7 linked regions of the Sus scrofa genome follow. The protein of the gene in region 3 purifies or fractionates together with the protein of the main gene of each other region. This does not show direct contact. Links are inferred from orthologs where the notes say so. Each region holds a gene or a part of one and is shown on either strand. Other genes may lie near its edges.

Region 1 (4,010 bases), on a different chromosome or scaffold from region 3:
AGGCAAAAGACTCTAGACTATAAATACTGCCAGGGTTTGTTTAGTTTTAGATTGACTTTTAAGAACCTTCACTTGCAACATTAAAGACATGGAAAGGACAGGACAAAAAGTCAGAAAGCCTGAGTTTTAACTCTAGTTCTATCAGAATTTGGATTTCTTCCTAAAATTGGGCAGGTGAAGCAGGCTCCTGAAAATAATGCAAATCAGCACTCATGCTCTAGACTGAAAAGGTTAATAATACAGAATTATAAAGGGGAAGCATTTATTTTTATTGCATCATTTAAAAAGTAACTAAACCACAAGTTTTCTTACTAAATTAAGATAAAATGCCAAGACATACCTAAGGGCCTAAAACAATACATAAGTACATAGCTGATCACTGTCTGCAGAAAGTAATATGCATTCACAGGAGTTCCCATCATCGCTCAGTGGTTAATGAATACGACTAGGAACCATGAGGTTGCCGGTTCAATCCATGGCCTCGCTCAGTGGGTTGAGGATCCCACATTGGCGGGAGCTTGGTGTAGGTCACAGACGCATCTCAGATCCCCTGTTGCTGTGGCTCTGGCATAGGCCGGCAGCTACAGCTCCAATTAGACCCCTAGCCTGGGAACCTCCATATGCGGCAGGAGAGGCCCTAGAAAAAGGCAAAAAAAAAAAAAAAAAAAAAAAAAAAAAAAAGTAATATATATTTCAGGGGCTAACTATTCATTCTAGAATAAGGTTTTTAATTCAAGTTCTTCCCAAACCCAAGTAATAGGATCCAAGTAACTACATACAGTATTGATACTTCGAGACTCATTTGCCACTTTTTCTTTCAGGGACATATTAACAGAAATACAACTTCGTGGAATCCAAAGCTGTGTTTTTTAAAGTTCAATTAACTTAATTCTCGAACGTGCTATAACTTCCTTATTTTAATTATCTTTTTCATGGAAAACTGACCTAAGCTAGAAATAAATTTTATTTAAAAACAAAAAGAATTTCCACATATGATTTAGCTCTAAAATCTTCAGCATAAATGTTGGGTTTTCATTTTGTTTATTTTTTAAGTTGAATATTCATTTGACACTGAGAACATATTCCTTTTCTACGGAAAGTGCAAGGCTTTCAAGTAATCAAACATTAACGAAGAATGTGGTTAAATCACAGCAGAAGTAGTAATAACAGGGTAATATAATGAGGTCACAACTGGAGCAACCAATCAAAGGCATTAAAGCATTTCCTGCAATATTAATAGTCATAAGAGAAAACCAATCACAGAAACCTTGGGCCTTCTTTTGACAGTCACAGAAGCAAGAGAACCAATCCACGCACACCCGAGGTTGACAATAAGGCGGGACCACAGGTTCATTGAAGAAATTCTTGAGGGTGCAGTTACTATGAACTTCGCACACAAGTAGCACCACTCGAGTCATAAACACTGTCAAGCCAGAGGAAATTCAACCATATCCAAAATTTAACGCATCAGGGAGAAAAAACATTTTTGCCCCAAATTGCTGCTATTAATAAAAATGCAGCTGTCAATATGGATGCAATAGGTCCTCAACTTCTAAAACACCCCCCCATGGCAATTTTTCAGGGACGCGGGGCGAGGACTGTGGAGCATCGGCAGCTAGTTGCCTAACATCGCCAGTCCCTTTCTAAAGCCTCACACTAAGCAGGCACCGTCCGGGCTAGGCAGGCAGAACCGACTCGCTCTGGGCCCGGAGCTAGCCGGTCAGCGGCTTCTAACGTTACATCCTCCTAGTGGTCGTGGCCCTCAGCCTCCCCGGCCGCAGTGCTGCACCACCTCAATCCTGCTGCACCAACGCGGGCCGGGGTGCGAGAATTACCTTGCTAAGAGGAAGACGATGTTTTGAAAGCGTTTTACTTTCCACAAGTCATTTCAAAAAGAACCCAATGCAAGGCTGAATCCAAAAGTGGGGGAAAAACGTTGCCTAGCCAAAGCATCCCCTGCGGATTAAATAATCCCACTCCAGGGGGACAAAAAAGGTAAACAGAGGCCGTACGTCAAGTGCGGCCAGAACATCCCCTGCGCCATTCCGGGCCGCCGCTTACGGCAAGGCCCCCTTACGGCAGCGTAAGCGGCGCTGCGAGCTAATCACAACACTGGGACGCAACAACATGGCGGCCGCGGGCGGGCGCTGCGCCGGCCGAGAGGGTTTACGCTACTCCGCCGGCGTAAGGTCCCAAGCGTTGGAGCGGCAGCGGCGCCCTCCAGCGAGCGTAAAGCGCTCTGTGAATGGCGAGGCCCGACTGACAAAGGGGAGGGGGGAGGAGGGAAGGGGGGGTAATAAACACTCGAGTCCCTACCGATTCCTCCTCCTTCTCCATCCCGGTGGGCATCTGGGGCACGGCCCGGTTGATGGAGACGCAGTCGTTGAGATCAGGCATGTCCTTGCCGCGGTAGATAGGCAGCGGTTTGGCGGCGTCCAGCGCCCGCGCTCGGAAGGAGAGTTTACTCATTGTCTCCCCGCCTTACAGGAACAGCCCGGGCGGCGGCGGCGGGGCGGGCGGGGAGGGGGGGAGGACTCCCGCCGCCTCCTCCACCACCTTCCTCAGTGCAGCGCGGCCGGCCCGCTCCTCCTCCTCCTCCTCACTGCCCCCGGCCACAGCATGGGCGCCCACCCCGCCCGAAAACAGCCCCCCGCCGCCCGCGGCCGCTTCCACACACTAGATCCGCCGCTCGCCCGCCCGATCCGCTCCCTGCGCCATGGCCAACATGGCGGACATTACCACAGCGGCGGCGAGCGATCCCGGCAGCCCGCGCGAGAGCGCGCCCCCGCCGCGGGAACGCGCCTCGCCCTCTCCCTCCCTCCCTCCTTCCCCTCCCTCGCCTGCCCACCCACTCTCTCCGCGGCGCTGCCGGCCCGCGGGAGCGTGCTCAGCCTCGGGCCGCTCCGGGTAGGGGGGCGGCAGCGGCCCTCTGCTCCGCTGCCGGCGCTCTAGCCGTGTGGCAGGTGTCAGGTGCGCAAGTTAACCCGCGCCCCCGAGCGTGCGCCTCTGCCTCCGCGGCCCCGACACCCAGCTAGTTGGGTGCCCCGGAGGACGGCGCCGGGCAAAACACAGCCGCGCTGAGCAGCCCGTGTGTGCAGAAGTCTGTGAGCGGGAAAGGGAAGATGTCAACCGAGCCACAGCTGCCCCACTGAGCCTGTACTTACACAGCACTTACCTCCACAGCGCCAGCTAATTCTCATCCTCCAAATCGCGCATCCCTGGGAGGTGCGAAAGGTCCATTCCTTCCGTCCGCTCCGAGGGGCGCAGACCTGTCGGGTCTCGTCTGCCCCGAGAACGCCTCCGCAATCCCGGCCCTCTTCCCGCATCTTTTTTTTTTTTTTTTTTTTTGGTACCTGGCCGAAAGAGCTCTCCAAGGTAAGGCATCCTCGCTTTCGCTGAGAGGATGCTAATGGCAGCAGTGAGGGTTAATGTTTGAGGCTGCCAGATGCAACAAGTGCACTTGAACCTGTCACCAAAACTTCAGAGTTATTTAATGGATGATATTTCTGATTTCAAAAATATTAAGCTTATAATTTTTAACCAAGGCAGAGAACATTTCCAGAGTGATAGATCCGTGTAAAATATTGGATGCTGTGGAAGATGCCAAGAGGTTTGAGGAAAAGTTCCTGTCCTCGTGCAGCTTTCACTTTGATGGGATGACAGAACGGTTAAAAAGATGAGTAACAGTAAGAGATGTAAATAGTTGAAGAACAGGGCAACTGAAAAGTAAATGACAGCCAAAAGAAAAAAAGTTTATAACTTGAAGAAAACTACATAGGCAATGACACAAGGCAGTAGAACATGCTTAATTACCAAATGAGTCATACAGGCCATAGTTGCCATGAGAGTTCAGAGAAAGGAGACTACTTTAGCCTGAACCGGTTAGAGAAAGTTCTAAAGAGGAGGTAAAATCCAGTTGACTCAAATTTATTTGGCAGCGATTGTTGATATCAACTTCATTTAGCCAAGAGTTCCTTAGTTAGACTTTAAGCATCACAGTTTTCCTACAA
Region 2 (3,500 bases), about 71 Mb from region 3:
CCTGGTGTCCCATCTACAACACAGGGGTACAAGGCACACAGGACACAAGCAGGCCACTCCACCCCGCCCCGCCTCTCTCCCGCGCCCCCGTCAGCAGCGTCTACACCACTGCTCTCCGCACACTCGCCTCTTCAGAGACCCCAAGCACGCAGAGTCCAACCCAAGGGGTAGGCTCTAAACCTACAGCAAACAAACCCCGGCCACTGCGGCTTTCTCCTTCAGGTCCCCCCTGGACTTCCAAGTATTCCCAGCATCCGCAATATACTACGCTGAAAACAAGGTAACCATTTGATACCTAAAACCTAGCTGGCCTTCTCAAATTTCAGTATTTTGTCTTGCTTGCCTCCGACATGAGTTCATGAAATAAAAAGCATGTCAGGCAGCTGAATGAAGGCAGCCCTGGGGCCGGGCCTTGACACAATCACTCTTCTCCCTCGGCTTCAAAGGAAGCCACCTTGATCCCACCTGTGATATATATATACCACTGCCCCAAGCGGCCTTCCTCATGTTTACAGACCTGTTCTCCTTTCTTTTTCGAAATACAAAGTTGTGTTCAATCATACAGAACAGTAATTTGAATTTTAAAAGCCCATACCTACTGGCAGTTTATCATTCTATCAATTGGACCTCACTAAAGCTGGGTTTTGTCTTTTTTTGCAGGCCATATATAAATTAAAAAAAGAAAAACCAACCAACCAACCACAGGCCAGCACAATCACTGACGGTCATTCAGGACATCCCATAATGAGACCCCACTGAATTTTCCACCTTACATCATAAGTTTCTGATCATCAGCAACAGATCCAAACAATGACTCATGCAGCAGGTGCCAGGCCACATCCTCTACAACAGCCGAGTGGCCAGTAAAAATCGCTTTAGCATCCACAATTTTGCCTTCCTTTGGTCCTGCATTGATATCCCACAGACAGACAGTCTGAAGAAGGAACAAACAAGAGTTATAAGGGACTGAGTTTATTTACTTATTCTTTTTAGGGCTGCACCCATGGCATTTGGAAGCTCCCAGGTTAGGGGTCAAATCGGAGCTGTAGCTGCTGGCCTACACCACAGCCACAGCAACACCGGATCCTTTAACCCAGGGAGCAAGTCCAGGGATTGAACCTGCATCCTCATGTATACTTCATTGTCTTTTTTTTTTTTTTTTTAGGGCTGCACCTGTGGCATATGGAGGTTCCCAGGTTAGGGGTCAAATCAGAGCTGCAGCTGCTGGCCTACATCACAGCCACAGCAAGGCCAGATCCAAGCAGCATCTGAGACCTACACCAAGGCTTATGGCAACGCCAGACCCTTAACCTACTGAGGGGAGGCCAGGGATCAAACCCGAAACCTCATGGTTCCTAGTCGGATTCGTTTCCTCTGCACCACGACAGCAACTCCTAGCTTCCTCTCTTTTTAAAATCACTTTTTTACATGAAAATGTTACATAATACATGTGGCCCTTAGTCTCTGCTGATACTTAGACATGCAGATGCACAATTTACACGCATGTAACTCTTGCCCTCACCTGGCTCCTCATCTCAAAAGGATCCTGGGAACATTAACAAGATGCCTCGCATATGGGGAGCCCTTGGGAAATGTCAGCTATTAGTTAAGACTGGCAACTCACTGCGTGGTGTGTTCAAAAAGTACTAGCAATGAAGTTCCCGAGCATATAAGCGATTCTCTCGGTTTGGGAGACTCTCCTAGGTCCACTTTGAGGGAAACAAATGAAAGCTTCCTTTCAGGGAACTGAGGGAGACCCTTGAAGCATGGCTGCAAAGACATGGCAAGCTACCAGTGCACCAAGTCTGTGAACTGTGAACAGCACCAAAGGAGAATCTGTTCTGATGACAGGTGCCGGGGGTGTGTTTTACATCCATCCACTTTCCAGGGGTGGTACGAGTGACATCCTCACTGGCCTGATTTGGGTCAGCGATCTGGCCTCTCCTCTTTTCAGGTCACTTTCTAGCCAACGGAGCAATCGTGTGAGCGACCCACCCAATGCCCTTCCAATAAATTCCTTTTCTATTTAAATCAGCCAGTGTTGTTTTCGCAACCACTAAGGAAAATAGTTTTGGAGGTTCCTCGAAAAGTAAAAAAATAGAACTATCCTATGATCCAGAAATCCCCCTTGGGGATATATGCACCCCCATGTTCACTTCCGCACTATTTACTCACAAAGCTCATCAAGAACAAACTGGTGGTTGCCAGGGGTGGAGGGTAGGAGAAATGTGTTAAACAGGTATACATTTTTAAAAAATAAAGAGACTTAAAAAAGAGTCACTCAGAAAATTCACCTGAAGAGTAGTCTTAAAAAGAAAAAATGCGAGAATTTAAAACAAACAAGTAGAGAAAAATTATTATTATTTTGCTTTTCAGGGCTGTACCTGCAGCATATGGAAGTTTCCAGGCTAGGGGTCGAATCGGAGCCATAGCCACCACCTTACGCCAGAGCCATAGCAATGCCGGATCCGAGCCACGTCTGCGACCTACACTACAGCTCACGGCAACGCCAGATCCCCAACCCACTGAGCAAGGTCAGGGATGGAACCTGCAACCTGATGGTTCCTAGTCAGATTCATTTCTGCTGCGCCACGACGGGAACTCCGAGAAAAAAATTTTTTTTTTTTTTTTGGTCTTTTTGCCTTTCCTAGGGCCACTCCCACGGCATATGGAGGTTCCCAGGCTGGGGGTCTCATTGGAGCTATAGCTGCCGGCCTACGCCAGAGCCACAGCAACGCCAAATCTGAGCCACGTCTGCGACCTACACCACAGCTCACGGCAACGCCGGATCCTTAACCCACTGAGCGAGGCCAGGGACCGAACCCACAACCTCATGGTTCCTAGTGGGATTCGTTAACCACTGCGCCACGACGGGAACTCCGAAAAATTATTTTTCAAAAAAAGCAGCCAGAATTGGGTTTGGTTGCTTATAACTAAATAATCTTGACTGGGCCAATTACCTACTTTCAGTATTTCACAAATCTTAACACAAATGCAATTAACAAGTCATTAAAGAAGGGCTGCTTTCAAAAGCTCCAGAAGTCTCCTCTCGGCTTGTGCTTGGGGTCACACCACACACTTTTGGCTTACGGTATGTGAACCACAAGAGAAAACACGCAGCTGTTTGTGCCAAGAATGCTACCACCGTTCATCTATGATAAATTAACAAGGTCCCTGTGTTTTAATGCTAATACACTTAACATGAAGGATGCCAAGACAACTCAATAGGCAAAAATGAGTCTTCTCCCTTTTTCTGGCCACACCTGTGGCATGTGCAAGTTCCCAGGCCAGAGGTCAAATGAACCTCTGCTGTAGTTGCAGCCTGCACTACAGCTGCAGCAATGCTAGATCCTGAACCCACTGCACCACGAAGAAACTTCCAAGATTAGTCTTTGTAACAAACCGTGCTCAGGAAACTGAATATCCACATGCACAGAATGAAGCTGGACCCCTACCTCATATCTATCAAAATGGATCAAAGACCTAAATATAAAAGATAA
Region 3 (4,132 bases):
ATTTACCCTGATTTCTGATAAACTAGTTTGTTTTTGCCTTTAAAAAATTTTAATTAAGGATAATTGCAAATGGATAAAAATGTAGAGGGAATAATATTATAAGCCTATGCGAATCTATCCTCCAGCTTCAACAATTACCAACTGAAGGCCATCTTGTTTTATCTATAACCCCACCCACTGCTCCCCCCCCACTCCGTTTTTTTCAAGCTCAGTGAATAGCTGACTTTCTGTATTTTATTATGGAAAATTTCAAACATATACCAAGAAAGCCAGTATAATTTAAGAAATCATATATGCCCATCACTCAGCTTAAACGATTAACTTAGGGCCAATTTGGTTTCATCTATACCCCTCCCCACGTCCCCCTACCGCTGAGATTATTTTGAAGCAAATCATAGATATCAACATATTTTGAAGCCAATCTCAGACATTTTACTATTTAATCCGTATTTTCATATATATTGCTACAAGCTAAAGACAATTTGAAACCATAACCACAATACCATTTTAACGTCTAAAACATCGTCATCAATTTCCCCCAAAAAATCGAATTTGAATACGACTTCAAAATATCCCGATGCATCTTAAACAGTTTTTTAAAAAAATATAGTTAATGTGTCCGAATCAGGATCCAAACAAGGCCTACTCATCGCATGTGGTTCATCTCCAGCTCGCTCATTCTCCATCTCTCCCCACCCCCATCCCCCCCGCCGCTTTTTTTTTAAACTTTTCAATATGGAAAATTCCAATCCCCGCTATTTTGAGGCAATTCCCAAATAAACTATTCCATCGGTAAAAACTGATACGTCTCTTTTATATCTCGAATTTCTTCTAGGGGAGGAGATGATGGGCAGGAAAAACACTATAATGAACGACTTTACATAATTTATGTTTTCTTTCTCTATTACGCGTTTTTTTCTCTCCATAATAACAGCTAATATCTTCCGGAGTCAGGCTTCATATTAAGTTATTAAGCGTATTATATTATATTACTTTGCATTCGTTAGTTATACGCACTAATATACAGCACACGCCTCTGAGGCACACGTCTCTGAGGTAGATACTATTATTATCACCATTTTACAAACATGGAAACCGAGACACAGAAAGAACGGGAGCCAGCCCAAGCTGGGCGTTGGCGAGTAGGCATTTGAATCTAGCTCTGCCTGATTGTGAAGCCATCAGTTAATCTTGTCTATATACGCAACGATAAGAGGAAATCGGCAACCCTTTCTCCCCACCCCCACCCCGAAACCTGAAACGAGAATCCAGTTCTTTCCAGCAGCCGACGTGTGATCACTGCCGACCCTCCAACCGCCATAGTAAAGCCAGGTTTCTCTGGCAACTGATATCCATAGGCAGACACGTCACCCTGGAGGCGGGCTTACGCCCTCTAGCCAATCACAATCGTCTTGCCTAAGTTTTAGAATGTTCCATAACCAAATGATTGGTGGAAGCCCACCACGTCAGCAATGACACTTAGCCGCAGTAAAGGCGGGTGCTAGCAACCTGCTTCTTCACGGTTAAGACTTGAGGAAAACCAATCACCTTCCTCCTTTAGTGCGGACTGTGGCCAATGACGTTCGCCCTCTTAGGTTCTTAGCCCGCCCCCCAAAAGCGCGACAGCAGTTGGGTCATAAGTCTATAGGGCAGGGTGTTCACGTGGCCTATTTTCACGACCCAGAGTTCCTCTGACCAGAGGTTTTTTCTTTTTTTTTTTTTCTTTCTTTCTTTTTTTTTTTTTTTTTTCCTGCAGGGAGGCATTATGGGTTTTTTTTCCACTGGGAAAGGAAGTGTCTACGTGGCCTGCGGAAACAGGATGGGCGGAAATGAGCTAAAGTTCCCGCGAGTGGGGAAGCGCGAGGTCAAATCTGGGGCCACGCCCCCAACCTCTTGCGCAACTCTTGGAGAAAAAAAAAAAGGCAGAGTGGGGTTTCGGTGTGTATGCTGGTGGCGGGTGGCGGCGTGCTGCGGCCGTGTGGTGTCAGGGCCACGGCGTTTGTGCGCAGGCGAGCCCGCGTGGCCTTGGGGATGGCTTATGCGCGAACGCCAGGCCTCGTGGCGTTGGAGGCGGGTGTGCGCAGGCGTGCGCCCCTAGCGTTGGGGCCGTTGTGTGTCGCCGAGCGGGTGCGTGCGCCTTCGTGTGTGTGTGTGTGTGTGTGTGTGAGTGTGTGTACACGCGCGCGCACGGATGTGTGCGGGGGCGCGCGCTCTGTAAGAATCGTTTTCTACTTTCGTAGGTTTGAATATTGTTCTGATGAAAAGGAAAATCATTAAATAGTTAAGGCAAGGCGACCGTAACTAAGATAAAGGGTCTTTGCTAGGGATATTTCGATCTCTCATCGATTTAATTTTAAACCCTAAAATTACACTTTCTTCCCACGTTTTTTTCCGTGTCAAAATCCTGTATTAAACCCTAGCCCTCCAGTGGTTAAAAGCCGAACCTTCCCGTTCCTATATTAGCAATTCCACGAAACAGTTTCTTTCCTGTTCCCTAATAACCTTCTCCCCACCTCTTACCCGCTCCCTCCCCTCCCCCCTTCCCCAAGTTTTGTACAATTCTCTTGGCACAAACAATTTTCTGCAGAGAATATCTATATACAACAGACTTCCCCTCCACTAGGGACTCCCAATTTCTGTAGGAGTTGAGGCTCTCTTACCTTTCACTCCTGATCTCCAAGCAGTGTGCTCTTCAGGCAAGTACGCGCTCAGTTAATTTTCCAGAAAGTTCTCTGGATGAGGTTTATACCTTTTGCATCTGCCACTAGATGCCGCCAAATTCCATCAAAGGATTGGCTGTTTGGTCCCTGGAATTATGGGATTCCCCCCCCCTTTCTGATTTGCTGAACTCTTCAATCTATAGAAATCACTCATATATATTTCATTGCTGGGGAAAAATCAATTTAATTTCTGTTAATTGCTCTATCAGGAGACTATGGCCCTAGATACAAATGTTTTACCTCATTTCCTTATTAAAAAAAATCACCCCTCCCATTCTTCTTTCTTTCTTGCCTTTTTTTTTTTTTGCCAGGGGTGGGCAGTCAGAACTGATGAAAGACTTGAGGTACTGGTGCTGATGAAGATTGGAAGCGTCTCTGGGGTTAGGATCTTCACTTCAAGTGCTTCCCTCACCCTTACCCACCCCCACCCCAAGTGAAAATATAGATGGCTTGTTTAGTTAGTAAAGACATACATCTTTACTGGACTTGGACCCAATTACTGAAAACTGATTTTCTTTTCCTCTTGAAATTATGATTAGGTATGTGTTTCTACCCTGTTTTCTGTAGTGGTACTGGTAAACCGTATTATGTTTTTGGAGTCAAAGACCTGATTTTAAACCTTACTCCACCATTTACTAGTTCTGAGGCCCTGGGATTTATATGCTGTGCTTTCAGGTTTTTTTTTGCATGCCTTCTGTGTTTTAGGTAGTGTTACCATATTCTTCACACAGATATTCTTTTCTTCTTCACAAAATCCTTATTAGATGGATACTAATCAAAATCAAACAAAAGTTGTACCTCTTTCAGTTATAGATCCTATACATGTGTGCATGCACGCAGGTATGCGCTCATAAATACGCACACATACACCCCCCCCCCCCCCCGGGGAATGGGTGAGGTTTAGAGCAGAGGTTCTCAAAGTGTGTTTCCCAGACTCACCGGTAGCATCATTATCACCTTTTGGGAAGTTGTCAGAAATTTATAGTCTCAGGCCTCACCTCCAACCTAACCAGTCAGAAATTCTAGGAGTAGGGTTTGGCTTTCTGTGTTACGACAGATAACAAACTGTTCTGGTTATTCCAGCGCACACCGAAGTTAAAAAGCACTGCTTTGAAGAGCAGAAATAAAATGCTTATTTTTGTACACTCCACTAGAGGGTGCTGCAGAATGTAAAGCCAAAAAAAAAAAAAAAAAAAAAAAAAAAAGTACATGTTCTATTGAGACACCCTGCATGTTCTCTGTCCCGTTTCACAGATTAAAAATTATTGTGTAGCAGAGTCAATTATTTTCTCAAGTGCATACAGAAGTACAGGAACCAGGATTGAACTTTACCTGCCCCTTGAACTCAAGCCCTTGCCAGTACTCTGTTATTCAGCCAAAACAGCTTGTCTTTCAGGGTCTCAAAATACATT
Region 4 (3,500 bases), on a different chromosome or scaffold from region 3:
ATGACTTTCATCTTTTACTGTTAGAAATGAATATATAGGAGTTCCTGCTGTGGTGCAGCAGGTTTTAAGGATCCAGCATTGCCACATCTAGTGTAGGTTGCAGCTGCAGAGAGGATTCAATCCCTGACCTGAGAACTTCCATACGCTGCAGGTGCAGCCCCCACAAAAGAAAATAAATTAAAAAAAAGAAATTAATACATATTGCGATGTGAGAGTCTAATTTACTAACATGACTCCCCTATCAGTAAGTCATGATCAGAGATGGATTTTCAGTAAAGAAAGTCTCCCATTGAGAAACTTGCTATGAACAATAGCACATTTTTTAATATTGTTGACTCATGTTAGGAAAGAGAACATAACTAAGCCACACTAGCAGAGCAGCTCTACACACTAAAAACATTGCCTTAGCCAAAAAATGTACAGAATAGCGTATTTGTTTTTAACCCCCAAAACAATGCTCCTTTCAGGTCTCACAATAGTAATTCAAATGAATATAGAGTTGTTTGTTGAGATATTGGCAAGTATGAAAAAACCCACCCCCAAAAGCTATTAATTTTATTTGTAAAACATCATCAGAGATATAAAGTTTGAAAAATATAAAATACTCATAGTCTGTTCAAACTCACAGCCTATAATGCTTTCATAAAGAGAAAAGGGTTACTTACATTACACATGTAATTGTGCCAAGACCTGGTAACCTGTGGCAACTTCTCTTTTCTTTTCCAGTTTGCTGGAGATCCTTCTCGAACAGGTTCCTGAGTGCCAAGAGCACGTGCTTGGTTAAGAGTTCGAAATATGGACGTAGGGAGTTGGAGATAAATCCCAGAAATAAAATTCAATTATCACTTACTTTTGATGCAATCATATATGGAGGAATCAGTTCTATATTCATTTCTTGGAAGAGTTCTCTGCACTGCATTGTAATAAAGTCTCCAGCAAGAGGGGATTTCACAATGCCTATGAAACAGATTAAACAAGGCTAAGAAAGCATTAAATCCAAATTCCTTGGGACAAATTTCCCCTGTGTATTTATAAATGAGTAATTTCTTTCAAGTAGAATTAACACAACTACCCCTCAAAGCATGAATGAAGCAGTGCTGTCAGTTTTCAATATACACTATATACTAGAGGTTTTTTTAAAAAACACTCAAAAAAGATATTATTTGGAAACTGATAAACTTTGATAGTCCAATTCATTGCTTTATTTCATGACCTGCGTCCTCAGTGCACCCTGTTAAATACAGTTACCTTGCTGAAGGACATAGCCATCGTGAACTGGAATCGCAGTGGTATGAGTGGCTCCACTGTCCAAAATAAGCCCAGTAGAACGACCATTGGCAAATCTGGTTTACAGCATTAAGGAAATGAAAGTATCAAGTTTCTAAAATAATGTTTATTGTAAAGGGAAGGTTTTGTTAAGGCATTTTAAAAACATGTGCATTGTGACTTAAAATGTGTTAAAATATAGGGATGAAAGTTGGTATCTAATAACAACTCTGGTTTAAAAACAAATGACAACAGCAGGCTGGACTTCCAGAATGGTGGGGTGAGGAAGTCAGAGAAACATTTATTCCAGAGATGTCTATTAAGCTGGTCAAAATTAGCAGTTATTCAAAGTACCTGGCATAGATCAAAGGGCTTACAACAAACTTAACTGAGAAGCATTTAACAAAATCTAAAAGAACGTGGTAAGAACAGTGGAAGGCTGACACTTGAGCTAAGAACCAAAACCATTCTCACATGGGATTAATTAGAACCATTTCAGCAGAATGGCAGCTGAGTGGCAGCTATCCTCTCCCCCAACTCAATAGGAAGAGCACTTCCAGAAAGATTCAACAGCCAATGAATACAGCAGATTTCATTTATCCAATTTTCCACAGCTGCAGAGGCCTACATCACATTAACATCGTAAACCTACATTGAGAAGTAGAGCCATTCACTGGGTCATCAAATGTTTACTGAGCATCTATTATGTGCCTAGTGATGAGTCCAGTACTCACTAAAGAAGGGAAGGAAAAAGGAGGTCAGTCTCTCACTGGCATTACTTAAGCACAGAAGATACACAGAGCTGAACCAAAACTGTCTCTGCCCTGAAGGATATCCTCTTTAGTGAAGTAGAGATCAATAAAGCTATAAAAAGAACAGCTATAAAAAGATGCCCTAGAGAGTATAATGGAGACCACCTAACCAATCCCTGGGAAATCCAAATGTAAACTGGGGAAGGGGACATGGAGAAGAGTAGGAACACATGGTTAGACCAGGAGGCAAGACAGCATGGTGAGGTCAGGGAAGTGCAAAGTAGTTCAGGAGACTGAAAGATGGAAGGAAGGAAGGGAACAATGTGGAAGATAATTCTGGCTCAAAATAGCAGGCTGGCAATTAACAAAGATTATTAGAACTGCAGTGTAAAGAATGGGCAAGATAGGAAAGGCTGTGATAATTGGGAAATAGCTTGCACCTTATGCAGTGGCGGCTGACAGAAATAAATGAATTTGAGGGTTTGGACTTGGGTGGGATGGCTTGGAGAATACACAGGTTTTGATAACTACTAAATTTAAAGGACTAATGAGAAGGATTTCTGATCTGGATAACTGAGAGTAAGATGACACATGAAGGAGAAGGAATAAATTTGAGGGGAGGGAAGATAAATTCAACTTTGGACATAATGAATTTAAAGTGCTTAAACCAGATAACCAATAGAAAAAATTACAGTAGGCAGCTGGACATGGGCCTGGAGCTCACAAGAAAAATCTGGGATATGTACATGGATTGGGAATTTGTCAGTGTATAACTAGTATCTGAAGCCAAGGAAATGGATAGTTAAACCAGAAAGAACATATAGGGGTGGGGGGCAGTGGCGGTGGCTAAGGGCAGAAAATGAAGGCAGGAGCAGGAATGATCAGAGGAAAGAGATCTGAGAATAAATGGCCAGAAAGGTAATTTTATCTTAACTCATGGTTACCAAAGTAGACAGATGGGGGGATGAGAGGGAGATGGACTTGGGGTTTGGGATTGGCATATGCACATGAGGTTGATGGAATGACTGGCCAATGGGAACCTGCTGTACAGCACTGAAAACTCTACCCAATATTCTGTGATAATCTATGAGGGAACAGAATCTGAAAGAGAGTAGATGTATGTACATGTATAACTGAATCACTATGTTGTACAGCAGAAATTACCAGAACATTGTAAATCAACTATACTTAAACTTAAAAAATGACAAAACAAGATAATTTATCTTCACTATTAGTGGTACTCTACTGATCTCTGGTCAACTATATACGTAAACACTAATTTTATCTCTATTAGTACAAAGTGATACAGCTAATGCCGGACTAAAAAGCAGCAAAATGGTATGTAAGCCCTCCTATAGATAACAGTTATAAAATCTGGACAAATTATTTTAACTGACCATTTAAAGATACTTGAAAATATTCAAAAGTACCCAAAATTCAGGCAAAACTTATTCTCATGAAAATGAAACTGGAAGGGGTAAT
Region 5 (4,168 bases), on a different chromosome or scaffold from region 3:
ATTATTTACATCCCAGTTACACCTTCCCTAGTTACTCAAGTGGGATGCAACAACTTCAGGTGTCTCAATACTGTGTCTAATAAACATCCAAGTTTATCAAATTACAAGGAAAACAAAATTTGAAAGAAACAAAAACAGGTAAAATTAAAGCCCCAAAACTAACTTTCAAAAAGTACTTATGTAATTGGATAATGTTTTTTATTCATGTTCAATGTGACACAGCACTTTATAAGACTGTTATATAAATGTTTTGTCCAAAGCCCAGCTTCTGGGCACCCAGATATTCAAAAAAAAAAAAAAAAAGGCAAACCCACAGAACAAGGATAATTTCCAGATTAAAAATGTGCTATAAATGAAATGAGAAAACACATTTCAAGTAGAGTTCCAGACAACATAGTTTGATTTGGCCTAAATAATAGTAAATGCATTTAAAAATGTGAAAAGTAGTCAAAAAATTTTTTATCTTACCTTGGAAACTAAAGAAATCCCCTAATATTGAAATACTGAAATGTTTGTAAACATTTATTTTAAATAACAATTACATGACACAGAGAAGGTATATTATTTCAGTCTTTTTTAAGTAATACAGCTATATTTTAAAAAAATGAACAGTCTCTATTCATTAAGGCGATACACTAGATGAATACATGGGTTAGGAAAAACTTCAGTACTTAAGGTTTTGTCAATATTAGGTAATCTTTACAGAAAAAGTATTAAGTGACAATTAAAAATTTTAAAGAGTTAAACTTTTGGAGGATGACAATACATATATCCTCATTCATCACAGTAATTATTTGTTCAACCTTCTCTGCCAACTGATAGTCTATAATCTTAAATTCATTGAGAACTAGGGGAGAAGCTTGTCTGGGTTTTAAAAACAAACAGACTGATCTAGATTCAAAACTTACTTTGCCACTGCCCAAGATCACATATCTAAGTTATTTAACTTATGCAGATTTGCCTCATCTGTAAAATGAGACCTTGTTTCCCTTCTGGAGCTTCAAACAATATTAAATGAAATAATCTGTAAACGCTGAATTAGCTCCCCCTCTCCCCAAGCCCCCCCCCCCCACGGTCTAAGCTCTTTTTACTCACAGTGCTGCACACACCTCTGGGATAGCCTGTGGCCAGAGCAGATGCTTTTTAAAATACAATGGATAAAAGGACAATATGTTATTTTTATTGCTAGTAGACAGGACATAAAGCAAGGTACTCCTTTAAGAAGCACTAAGGGTAGGGTTCACACACTTTAATGTTCATTAAGCATCATGAGAGTACTTATTGGAAAAGCAGCTTCTAGAACTTTCATATCCAGAAACTGATTCTAGACTGGGAATGAGGCCTAGAGATATGCATTTTAACAAGCATCCGGCTGCCTCCGGTGCAGGTGAACCAGGAATGTCATTTGGAAAGCACTGGTCTGACGAATAGAGAAAAAAACCTTTTGACCTTGAGCAAGTATTCAACCTCTTGGGGCACTAAATTTCATCGTAAAGATTGATATTATAACTAATCCACTGGCAAACCCAGTTATTTGCTATCATCGCGATTCGCAAATCTTTGATTCATGGTTCCTTACAGCAAAAGATTCGACATTTTCTTCCACCTCATTTGACAAATCCTTTCTAAGCCTCTAGATTTTAAAAATAAATGCTGCTGCTGCTCCTCCCCCGAGAAGACTTTTCATTGCAGCAGTAATCACTCTGGGGTTCTTGTTTGGTGAAACCATCCTAAGGGAACAACTAGAGGTTTACATTACCATCTTAAAAACCTCAGCCCTGAGATGAGGCCTCCAAATACTTAATAAATCAAGCATCAAAAGGGCTTGAAGAAACAGCCCACCGATCGAACAGCAGTTTTTACTGTGACACCTTAATAAGAATTATACGCGAGTGTAAAGACGTCGTGTCAGTAACTCAAACACCTTACAGGCCAACGAAAGACCGAAAGCTTTTGTTACCCTTGCCCACAACCCAATAGAGGAAGGAAAGTATCAGTTCCCAAGTTCTAGGCGGAAAGGCCCCAGGGGCACCACTCTCTCGCGTCCGGACGTGCCTACATGAGACCCCAAAGAAACCAAGGCAGAAACATCCAAAAACGCAGCGTCCAGGTGTCGAGAAACCAGGGCAAGTGAACGTGAAAGGACAGAAGGGCCGGGAAGTCAAGCGAACCCGATCAGACTCCGGTACCTTGGGCGGTCGGATTTTGCAGATGCCGGTCTTCTCCGCCAGGGGCCGGATGCGGCCGATGAAGCTGAGCGGGTCTGTGAACTCCTCCCAGCTGGGTTCAAAGACCGGGCACTCCGGAGGCGGCACAAACTCCGCCGCGTAGCCCCCCGGCCCAATGCCCGCCATGGTCGCACAGGGGCCCGCGGCGCAGAGAGAGTAGCTTTGGGTGGGCCCACTGATGGCGCTCACGTCCGCTGACAGGGGCCGAAGCTCATCTTCTCAGGCGAAACCCGCTCAACGCAAGAAACCCTAAACCGCTTCCTCCAACGTTTGTTATTGTTTCCTTCGGGGCTTTTCCTCTCAGGTCGGGGCTCGCCGGAAGTCAGCGTACGACCAAATCCCTCCGCCACCCAGAAACAGGATCCCTCCGCAGCAGTGCCCAGTTGCGCGACCTTCCTCTCTCTCTTTTTCCAGACAACACAGGTCGCTCCTTGGCTCTTCGACCGCGGAAGGTCCGCGCTGCCGACGTCTCCTAGGGCTCAGTCTAGCGGCCCCGTGGCCCCCTCCCACTGGGGCGGTGGGGAACAACCAAACGAGCAGGGCGCTCTTCCGGCGCGGGGGGCTGCGTAATGCGCCGGGGACTGCGTAATGCGCCAAGGGCAGAGGTTCTGCTTCCGGTGAGCGGAACCCGGTTCCCCTTTGTGTGTAGGTGGTCCCCAGGGCGAGCCGTCTGATTTTGCTGTGCTGACTCTTTCACCTACCGTGTATGATTCCAAATAACTACTTTCTCCAGCATCTGTCTCTCTCTCTCTCTTTTTTTTTTTTGGTCCTTTCACTGTTAGTGTCCCTTTCGAATAATCTCGGACACTTTAATCCGCCCCATCTCCATGGCAACAAATTCGGGTCCAGCCCATCCCCCCAATCTCCCGGCTGGCCGGCCTTCGTTACCGTCTAAGAATTGATTTCCGACCACAAAGAAATAACGGCTCTTGAAACTTACTTTTACAACCGTTGATAACCCCCACATCGTCTTAACAGCAATCGCTCTCTTCTGGTAGCAGTGCACCTTGAGACTTTCTCAGTTTGCTCTAACAGCTAGGGCAGCTGTTCCGGCCCTGCTTGTAAAAAACCTCTATGCCAGAGCCCCTCTCCACTTAGTCCAAATTCCGGAAAATGACGCAGAAAAGACTAAAGACGCCGTGAAAGGATAGTTCTTGTATTGAACATCAATCGGAAGACTTACTTCCCGAGGCTTGTTCTCATGCTCCCTGCTCAGTCTAAGCCTCCCCCAGGACCTAAATGGTGATGACTTCCAAATCTCTTATTTCCAGCCTGGACTCCTCTCCTGAGTTACAAGCCAGTACTTCTAGCTACGTAATGGACAGCTCCACTTTGGTGAACTCAGAAAACTTGAACTTGTAGGTCCCCACTGTTTTTTCAGTGTTTCTGATTTCTATGCATGTCTTCATCCTTCTACTCAGTTGCCTGAACCAGAATCTAGAAGTAATCCTTAATTCCTGCTCCTTCACTCCCCACTTAAAATCCAGTGTCAAGTATGGAGATTCTGTCATCTAAAAATAAATCCATTATATATATATATATATATATATATATATACATATACACACACACACATATATATAATAAATATAAATCCACTCATGCCTGTACATCCAAATTATCAGGATCCTGGAGTTACTGTTGTGGCCCAGCAGAAACTGATCCAACTAGTATCCGTCTGGGTTTGATCCCCCGCCTCGCTCAGTGGGTCGGGATCTGGCATTGCCATGAGCTGTGGTGTATATAGGTCCCAGAGGGCAAGGATTCCGCCTTGCTCTGGCTGTGGCTGTGGCATAGGCTGGCAGCTGTAGCTCCAATTCAGTCCCTAGCCTGGGATCCATATGCCGCTGGTGTGGCCCTAAAAAAGCAAAAAATATGTCTGTGTGTGTGTCTGTGTGTATACATACATCAGGATGCTAGTTAAGTTCTCTCTCACCTGG
Region 6 (4,052 bases), on a different chromosome or scaffold from region 3:
TTACACCAGTGGTTCTCAACGCAGTAATTTTGCCCGCAGGAGACACTTGGCTATGTCTGGAGACATTTTTAGCTGTCTTGACTGGGTGGGGATCTAGTGGGTGGAGGCCAGGGACACTGCTAAACACTCCATGATGCCCTGGACAACACCCCCACAGCAAAGTGTTATGCCTTACACGGCAACAGGGTCGAGGAGAGAAAAAGACAATGGTTACCTTAGAAAAGTAAAGCTCAAACAGGCTTTTTCTCAGGGAGTCTGGTGAGCTCAAGCAAGGAGGGACTGCAGAGACAGAAGAGGCAGCAAGCTGTCATTTAAGAAAGAAGGGACCAAAGCCACAAGCCTGAGCTCAGTCAATGATCCTGTCAGCAGGTAAATGAAGCACAGCAACAAAAATGGCTAGTCACACATGCACCTCTGCTGCTTTTATTTTGTGGGTGGCACTGAGGGTGATCAGAAGGGGCCACAGGCCCAAGTACAAGTGAGGCCTGCCTAAGGCACTCAGAGGAAGAACCTCCAACCAAGACTTCAGTGACTGTGGACACAATTATCTTGACTGGACATAAAACTGTGTTAGAAGAATGCCTCCCTGGCACGCACAAACACATCCACTCCTGATTTAAATCTGCCAAAAGGATCAATTTGGGATGCAGAGCCTGCCTGGGTAGGTGTTTTGATCTATTTTGATTTGCGTTAGAAGCATTTCAGGAAAAAGACCAGATCTTCACCACCTTTCTAGCAATGAAGTACACGAGACACGCTGCCCGGCCTGCGTACCAGGGTGGGCTGTGCTAAGGTCAGATCATTCAAACCACGGCAGCCGCATACCTGGCTCGACAGAGGCGACTGTATGTTTAACTTGCCATTCTTGGGAATGTCTATTCTGTAGCCGAGAGGAAGGAAAGCGTTGAATCCGACAATGAGGTCAGGGTGTTCGTGGAATAGCTGTGACACTCGCCGGATGACTCCTGGAGTATCGATACTAGAACAAAGAAGAACAAGAGTGGGCAGAGGCGTCCTGGGGAGCAGATTAAAAGAGAAATCTACTCGTGACTCCCTTAACCGTGCCATGTCACAAGCTTCTCAACGGACAAAGAACCAACCACCCTAAAATGTGACTGGAGTGATTCTGCTGGTGGTGATCCGCTGCTAAGGCAGCCAGGCCTGGGCTCCCAGTGCCTTCCTGGCAAAATCCACAGAATATGTACACAGCACGGCTCCCAAAACACTGCAAGCACATGTGCTAGGTTCTGAAAATGTCAGGAGAGCCAATTTTAAATTGTGGGCTCCAAGAAGTGACATGTCAAAACCCTCTAAAGGGGAGATAAATTCCTCCATTTCGCATGAATTAGAGATGGACTATGACACTGGAGTTGTTCCCAGCAACTGACTATAATGCAAAGGCCATGCAAGTATGGAAGTGGCATAAGAATCGGAGGGCAGAGATGGGGTCTCCCTCAGGGCTGCAGTCAGGGCCAAGGCTTTAGCCTTGTGCCTGTGGAAGGCAACCAGGTGGGCCCTACCCTGTTTCCTTAGAGGGAGAAGCAGCACGGAGGGGATGTGACACTGGCGAATCTAAGTCAGACAGAACCAGTTCTGGTCCCGCCTCTGCCCCTAAGGTGGGTCTGGACAACCCCTTGACCCACTCTAAGCCTCAATGAGCATCCTTTCCAACAAGAGCACCATCGGGAGGGAGGTCTCCCATCTATCTCTAACCCTCCTGATTCAGTGCCTGTGAAAACAGCTAACATGTTTTAAATGCCTTCTTAGTGCCAGATTCCTTACTAAGCATTTTGTGCGCATTACTTCAAGTAGGCCTGGGACTGGAGTGAAGGGAGTGAGGAACTCACCTTGGGGATAAGATTTAAGAGGGACACAGTGCCAATACGGTCGATAACCAAAATTAATAACATTTTCATGCACTGCTTGATCAAAAGATAAAAATTAACTTTTAAAAAGCCTCGAAAAATGAAATTCACTTAAAAATCAACATTTTGAGTAAAGACGGGATCCTACCCTGTGTTTGCTCACTTGCCTCACCCCATCCCTGCCCTCGGTCCAGGAATCCCCACAACAGGGCCACGGCGGGGCGGGTGAAGGGGGGGGGGTCCCTCCCGGGGGGTCCCTCCCGTCCCAGTTTTTTTTTTTTTTTAAGAAGGAACTGAGGATCCGCTAAGTTCTGACCACCTGGGCAAGGTCACCCCGTCATGGGGCAGCCAGGGTAAGGGGCTCCCACCCAGCTCAGGCTGACTGCGGCCCAGGACGGTCCCCTGGGGTGGGCAGGGGCCCGGCAGGTACCTCTGGCTTTTGAATTCCTTCATGATCTCCAGGAAGCCGTTGTAAGTGGCAGGGTCGCTGCCGAAACGGATCTTCACCTGGTCCAGGTAGGTGAGGGCGTCCTCCACCTGCGGGGAGGGGAAAGTCCAGGTGGGCCGCGGTCTGCGGAGGAGGGGGCGGGGGACCCTGGCGGGAGGGGCAACCGGCTGGGCCTCAAGGAGCGGAGGTGGGGAGTCGGGGGTCTGGGGCTGCGCGGAGAGGAGGCCGAGGCGGGGCCGGGGCCGGGCGGGGCTTGGGTGGGGGGCGCCGGCCTGCGGGAACTGGACGACGGGGTGCTCGAGGGAGAGCTGGGGCGCCACTCACGTGCACTGGCAGCTTCTCATGGCCCGCAGAGCCCGAGCGACCCCAGCGGGCCCCGCTCAGCCCCCGGCCCGCTGGGCCGCCGCCGCCGCCACCGCCAGCGTGCGCCATGTTGGAAGTCGGAGCCACAGCCCGCCCCGCCCCCGCCCGGGGGCCGGCCGCGCATGCGCTGGCTCCGCCCTGAAGGCGGGGCTCTTTCAAGGACTCTGCGGTAGGATCTTACCCCATAAAACTGAAACGCGACTGTCCTGACATATACCACTGTGAGCAAACCAAAACCTGCCGCCTGCTTCTGTCTGGCCCCCAAAGCAAGATCGGAATAATTTTTACAATTTTAAAAGTTGGAAGAAAAATCCAAGGGAGAAGACTATTCCGTGACACGTGAAAATTCTATGAAATTTAAATTTCAGTGTCTGCAAAAATAAAGTTTTATTGGAACATAGGCATGCCCACTTGTTTACCTGTCATCTCTGGCTAATTTTGCAGTACAACAGCGGGGTGAATAACTGCGACAGACGCTAAGATCTACACAGCCTGATATATAATAAAATGTTCTTGACTCGTACTTGTAGGGTTGATGTGACAACCTGGTATGGGCACACAGCACCCTAGTTCAGGGCCACGGGGTTTGCCAAATTGCTCTTGACTTAGTCCTGTTCCTCCTCTCTTCGCTTCTCTAGTCCTGACCCCATGACTTCCCCACTGGAGCCTTTGGTTCCTGACCCTATCACTTCCCCACTGGACCCTCCCACTGGTTCGGGAGCCTCTTAACCAGTTTTTCCAGCCCCAGTGCTATCAAGAACTATCATTCCATAGCTGCTTCCAAACCTCCAAGGTCTTCCTATTTCTTTTTCTTTTTTTGTCTTTTGTCTTTTTAGGGCCGCACCCGCAGCATAGGGAGGTTCCCAGGCTAGGGGTCTAATTGGAGCTGCAGCTGCTGGCCTACGCCAGAGTCACAGCAATGCCAGATCCAAGCCGCGTCTGTGACCTACACCACAGCTCATGGCAACACCAGCTCCTTACCCACTGAGCAAGGCTAGGGATCAAACCCACAACCTCATGTTCGGATTCATTAACCACTGAGCCACAATGGGAACTCCAGTATCTTTTTTTTCAATGTGTGAAGAGGTGCAGGAAAGCTGAGAATACATTGGCAACAAGTGCATCATTTGCCAGGGGTCAGGAGTAGAAGGGTGAACAAAACCGACCAGGCTTTTACACTCACAGAGCCATCAGCCTTTCAAGAGGATTGGAATCAAATAATCACATACATAGATGTAAAGCTCACTTGTAACAAATACTTCAGAGAGAACATACAAATATAATAGTTATTGGGAATTCCTGTCATGGCACAGTGGAAATGAATCCAACTAGGAACCATGAGGTTTTGGGTTCGATCCCTGGCCTCACTCAGTGGG
Region 7 (3,500 bases), on a different chromosome or scaffold from region 3:
GCGGTGGCTCGAGGCAGTCCATGTGGAACAGGAGGGGGCAATAGTCACACTGGATAAGAGGGGCCACACGACAACTCCTGCAAAAAAGACATGTCGGCCATTTCTATGGTAAGGTGGGAGAATTCCACCAGACTCTACCCTGTGGAACAGCTTCCCTCTCTCAATGCTAGCAATGTTCTCCCATATTCTCCTTCGCAATGATCGTTACAGTCACTATTAGGAAGACGGATGAAGCTGGGGGCTTCCACCAGGCTCCTCGTTATTCTCTCTTCTAAGAGGAATGTGTCTTACAGAGAAGAGAATGTTTGTTTGGAGTTTGGCTAAAGCGGCTGTCAGAGCAGGAGCGATCAAGGCTCAGTACCCACTGGGGGAAGACAGTCAACCCTGCTCTGTTCTTTCTACGCCTTTAAAGAAAGCAAAGACTTCATTAAAAAAAAAAGAAAATCATTAGCAACCTTTCTCGAGTCTAGTACTACAACAAGTAAAGATTTCTCTTCTGCAATGAAGGACTCAGCAAAACTGATAACCAAAAAGGTTGATTTTGAAAATGATTTTGTAACGCATTTATGTAATCACAGTTCAAGGGAGGGGGTGTAAGCCAATGCCAATTATGGTTTGTAACTACCACACCTGAGCTGTGCAGGTGCAATGGAGGCACAGTCTGGGCCCAGCTTAGAGTCCTGCTGCTCTGCGGTCTAATTCCCAACAGCTTTGGCTGTGGAACATTTCTTTTGATAGCTTTTTTCTCCTGCTATCCTTCCCTTCTAATACACCCAAGCCAACAAGTTCAGCTCCCGTAACTGAAGCAGCTGGTTCCTGTCACTGAGGAGAACCTATTTGAAGGAAACCAGTATCCCAGGGAAGCTACAACTGGGGCAGCCTAGAGGCTGTTGGAAGTCATCCAGTCTAGATACATACTAGCCACTATGATACCTGTACTTCGTTCATTCATTTGTTTATTTATTGGCCATGCCCATGGCATACGAAGTTCCCAGGCTAGGGAGCAAACCCACGCCACAGCAGTGGCCCAAGCTGCTGTAGTACAACGCCAGATCCTGAACCCGCTGCATCACAAGGGAACTCCTACACTACTTTTAAACTTACTTTCAGTGCTTTAAAAATTATTTGCCTTTTCCAGGGATGTATGTCTCTGCTGGCCAGAGTTCTTCCTGTCGGCTAGTCTAAATATCTCATGCTTCAATTTAAGTTCAACTCCTCTCATTCTAGCCTCTATAAACACAATTTACAGGAATTCCTTTTCGGCACAGCGGGTTAAAGGATCTGGTGTAGTCAATGCAGTGGCTTCGGTCACTGCTGTGGAGGGGATTCAATCCCTGGCCTGGAAACCTCCACATGCTGTGGCCAAAACAGAACAAATATCACAGTTTACAGTACTTGTGCATCATGATTCTTCACCTAAGTTGTAAAACATTCAAGACTGGTCAATTAGTCACAGTCTCTGTCCTTATACCATCAGAATATAGATGATGTACATTTAACATACATGATTTAGAAGAGGTAATAGGAGAACACACATTTGCTGAATACGAGGAAAAGTCCCTCGAGTATGGAAGAAAAATACCTGTTACACGTGAAGCAGACTTTGACTGGTAAGGGAACAAGACCATTGTGATCTAACTCATGCTGTGTCTTCTTAACATTTTTCCCTGTGGTTTCCTCCTTTCTTCTCCTTTTACTAGAACCTAGAAGAGAAATTGGTGGTGCTGAACTTTCCTTGGATGCAGACTTCCTAATCTGGGATATGGAAATGACACTAAGTCAGAGGAACAGATCTTAGTAAAAGCACATGTCATGGGCTAGACTTGGATCTCTTTCTGAGGCCTCCTGGGCTGCTTTCAAAAAGGAAAAAAAAAGAATGAGGGGAGTTCCCGTCGTGGCTCAGTGGTTAACCATCTGACTAGGAACCATGAGGTTGTGGGTTCGATCCCGGGCCTTGCTCAGTGAGTTAAGGAGCCGGTGTTGCCGTGAGCTGTGGCGTACGTTGCAGACGCAGCTCGGATCTGGTGTTGCTGTGGCTCTGGTGTAGTCTGGTGGCTACAGCTCCAATTTGACCCCTAGCCTGGGAACCTCCATATGCCATAGGAGCGGCCCAAGAAATGGCAAAAAAAACCCCAAAAAACCAAAAAGGAAAAAAAAAAGAATGAGAAAGGAGGAAAAGAAGACGTAAGTCAGAACCACGATTGCAAGTCACTTGCTCTGTGGCAGAAACACATCTAAATGTTTTGAAAACATGAAGTGGTCAGAAGCCTTGGTTAGATATTGGCAACCTAAGAAATATAAATGCTCAAGTCAAATGGTCAACAAAAGACTATTCTATGGAGGCAGTTGAGGAAAAGACTATAATTTTACTACATTTTTATAGAAAGCAGAAAAGCTGTGATACTATATGCACCAGTAGGTTTCTTAAACCTGCCAATTTCACTTCCTCTGGGAAGAAGAAAATAAGATCTAAATGCTTCATGATATCAAGTAGAAGCCATGACTTGATTTAAAAACAAAAAAACAAAAACAAAAAAACAACAAAAAAAGGAGTTCCTGTCATGGTGCAGCAGAAACAAATCTGACTAGGAACCATGAGGTTACAGGTTCAATTTCTGGCCTCACTCAGTGGGTTATGGGTCTGGCATTGCCATGAGCTGTGGTGTAGGTCACAGATGCAGATGCAGCTTGGATCTGGTGTTGCTGTGGCTCTGGTGTAGGCCGGCAGCAACAGCTCCAATTCTACCCCTAGCTTGGGAACCTCCATATGCCGAGGGTGTGGCCATAACAGGACAAAAGACAAAAGACAGAAGACTTAAAAAAAAAAAGGAGGAGTTCCCTTTGTGGCTCAGGGGAAATGAACCTGACTATTATCCACAACGACACTGGTTCGATCCCTGGCCTTGCTCAGTGGGTTAAAGATCCAGCGTTGCCATGAGCTGTGGTGTAGATCACAGATGTGGCCTGGGTTTGGCATTGCTGTAGCTAGGCTGGCAGCTGTAGCTCTGAATCAACACCTAGCCTGGGAACCTCCACATACTGGGGGTGCAGCCCTAAAAAGACAAAACAAAACAAAACAAAAAGGAGGGCAATTTCATAATATCCATTAAAACTATAAATGCATACTTTAAAAAAATATAAATGCAGAGTTTTGATCCAGCAATTCTAATGCTGGTAATATATCCTACAGATACACTCACATGTACACAATGATGCATTTACAAAACTATTTGTTGAAACACTAGCTACAGTAACAAAAGATTAAGAACAACCTGAATGTCCACTAATAGGAAATTAGTTAAATAAATTATGGGATATCTATACAATGGGCTACTATGCAATCATTAAGAAAAACTGAGGGATGTCAACATTAATATGGAAAGACCTCTCTAGCAAGTATGCTATCTAAGTGGAAAATAATGAACATATATCTGTATTTGCTAATATATGCACAAAGATATTCTAGGAGATACAAGAACCAAACAGTGGTCATCTATGAG

Evidence for each region.
Region 1: the proteins of MORF4L2 (region 3) and EPC2 purify together in Homo sapiens (affinity purification with mass spectrometry; 5 studies listed by BioGRID and IntAct, counting the BioPlex papers as one, with this or other methods). This does not show direct contact. The link is inferred for Sus scrofa from reciprocal best matches to the Homo sapiens genes MORF4L2 and EPC2.
Region 2: the proteins of MORF4L2 (region 3) and RBBP7 purify together in Homo sapiens (affinity purification with mass spectrometry, with the first as the bait; 3 studies listed by BioGRID). This does not show direct contact. The link is inferred for Sus scrofa from reciprocal best matches to the Homo sapiens genes MORF4L2 and RBBP7.
Region 4: the proteins of MORF4L2 (region 3) and ACTL6A purify together in Homo sapiens (affinity purification with mass spectrometry; 5 studies listed by BioGRID and IntAct, with this or other methods). This does not show direct contact. The link is inferred for Sus scrofa from reciprocal best matches to the Homo sapiens genes MORF4L2 and ACTL6A.
Region 5: the proteins of MORF4L2 (region 3) and KDM5A purify together in Homo sapiens (affinity purification with mass spectrometry; 4 studies listed by BioGRID and IntAct, with this or other methods). This does not show direct contact. The link is inferred for Sus scrofa from reciprocal best matches to the Homo sapiens genes MORF4L2 and KDM5A.
Region 6: the proteins of MORF4L2 (region 3) and SIN3B purify together in Homo sapiens (affinity purification with mass spectrometry; 5 studies listed by BioGRID and IntAct, with this or other methods). This does not show direct contact. The link is inferred for Sus scrofa from reciprocal best matches to the Homo sapiens genes MORF4L2 and SIN3B.
Region 7: the proteins of MORF4L2 (region 3) and PHF12 purify together in Homo sapiens (affinity purification with mass spectrometry; 9 studies listed by BioGRID and IntAct, counting the BioPlex papers as one, with this or other methods). This does not show direct contact. The link is inferred for Sus scrofa from reciprocal best matches to the Homo sapiens genes MORF4L2 and PHF12.

What each region holds. Positions count from the first base shown.
Region 1 is NC_010457.5:3,523,424-3,527,433, forward strand, and holds the start of EPC2 (enhancer of polycomb homolog 2), read right to left. Parts: upstream 2,801-4,010; 5' UTR 2,470-2,800; coding exon 2,317-2,469; intron 2,227-2,316; exon of another isoform or gene 1,836-2,226; intron 1-1,835. UniProt on the Homo sapiens protein: May play a role in transcription or DNA repair.
Region 2 is NC_010461.5:13,299,521-13,303,020, forward strand, and holds part of RBBP7 (histone-binding protein RBBP7), read right to left. Parts: intron 935-3,500; coding exon 774-934; exon of another isoform or gene 14-773; coding exon 1-13. UniProt on the Homo sapiens protein: Core histone-binding subunit that may target chromatin remodeling factors, histone acetyltransferases and histone deacetylases to their histone substrates in a manner that is regulated by nucleosomal DNA.
Region 3 is NC_010461.5:84,563,505-84,567,636, forward strand, and holds the start of MORF4L2 (mortality factor 4-like protein 2), read right to left. Parts: upstream 2,801-4,132; 5' UTR 2,661-2,800; intron 1,537-2,660; exon of another isoform or gene 1,256-1,536; intron 1-1,255. UniProt on the Homo sapiens protein: Component of the NuA4 histone acetyltransferase complex which is involved in transcriptional activation of select genes principally by acetylation of nucleosomal histone H4 and H2A.
Region 4 is NC_010455.5:117,615,415-117,618,914, reverse strand, and holds part of ACTL6A (actin-like protein 6A), read right to left. Parts: intron 1,344-3,500; coding exon 1,249-1,343; intron 958-1,248; coding exon 851-957; intron 756-850; coding exon 666-755; intron 1-665.
Region 5 is NC_010447.5:67,713,344-67,717,511, forward strand, and holds the start of KDM5A (lysine-specific demethylase 5A), read right to left. Parts: upstream 2,801-4,168; 5' UTR 2,355-2,800; coding exon 2,190-2,354; intron 1-2,189. UniProt on the Homo sapiens protein: Histone demethylase that specifically demethylates 'Lys-4' of histone H3, thereby playing a central role in histone code. Does not demethylate histone H3 'Lys-9', H3 'Lys-27', H3 'Lys-36', H3 'Lys-79' or H4 'Lys-20'.
Region 6 is NC_010444.4:60,788,861-60,792,912, forward strand, and holds the start of SIN3B (paired amphipathic helix protein Sin3b), read right to left. Parts: upstream 2,801-4,052; 5' UTR 2,746-2,800; coding exon 2,638-2,745; intron 2,403-2,637; coding exon 2,296-2,402; intron 980-2,295; coding exon 826-979; intron 280-825; exon of another isoform or gene 215-279; intron 1-214.
Region 7 is NC_010454.4:45,143,756-45,147,255, forward strand, and holds part of PHF12 (PHD finger protein 12), read right to left. Parts: intron 1,704-3,500; coding exon 1,583-1,703; intron 78-1,582; coding exon 1-77.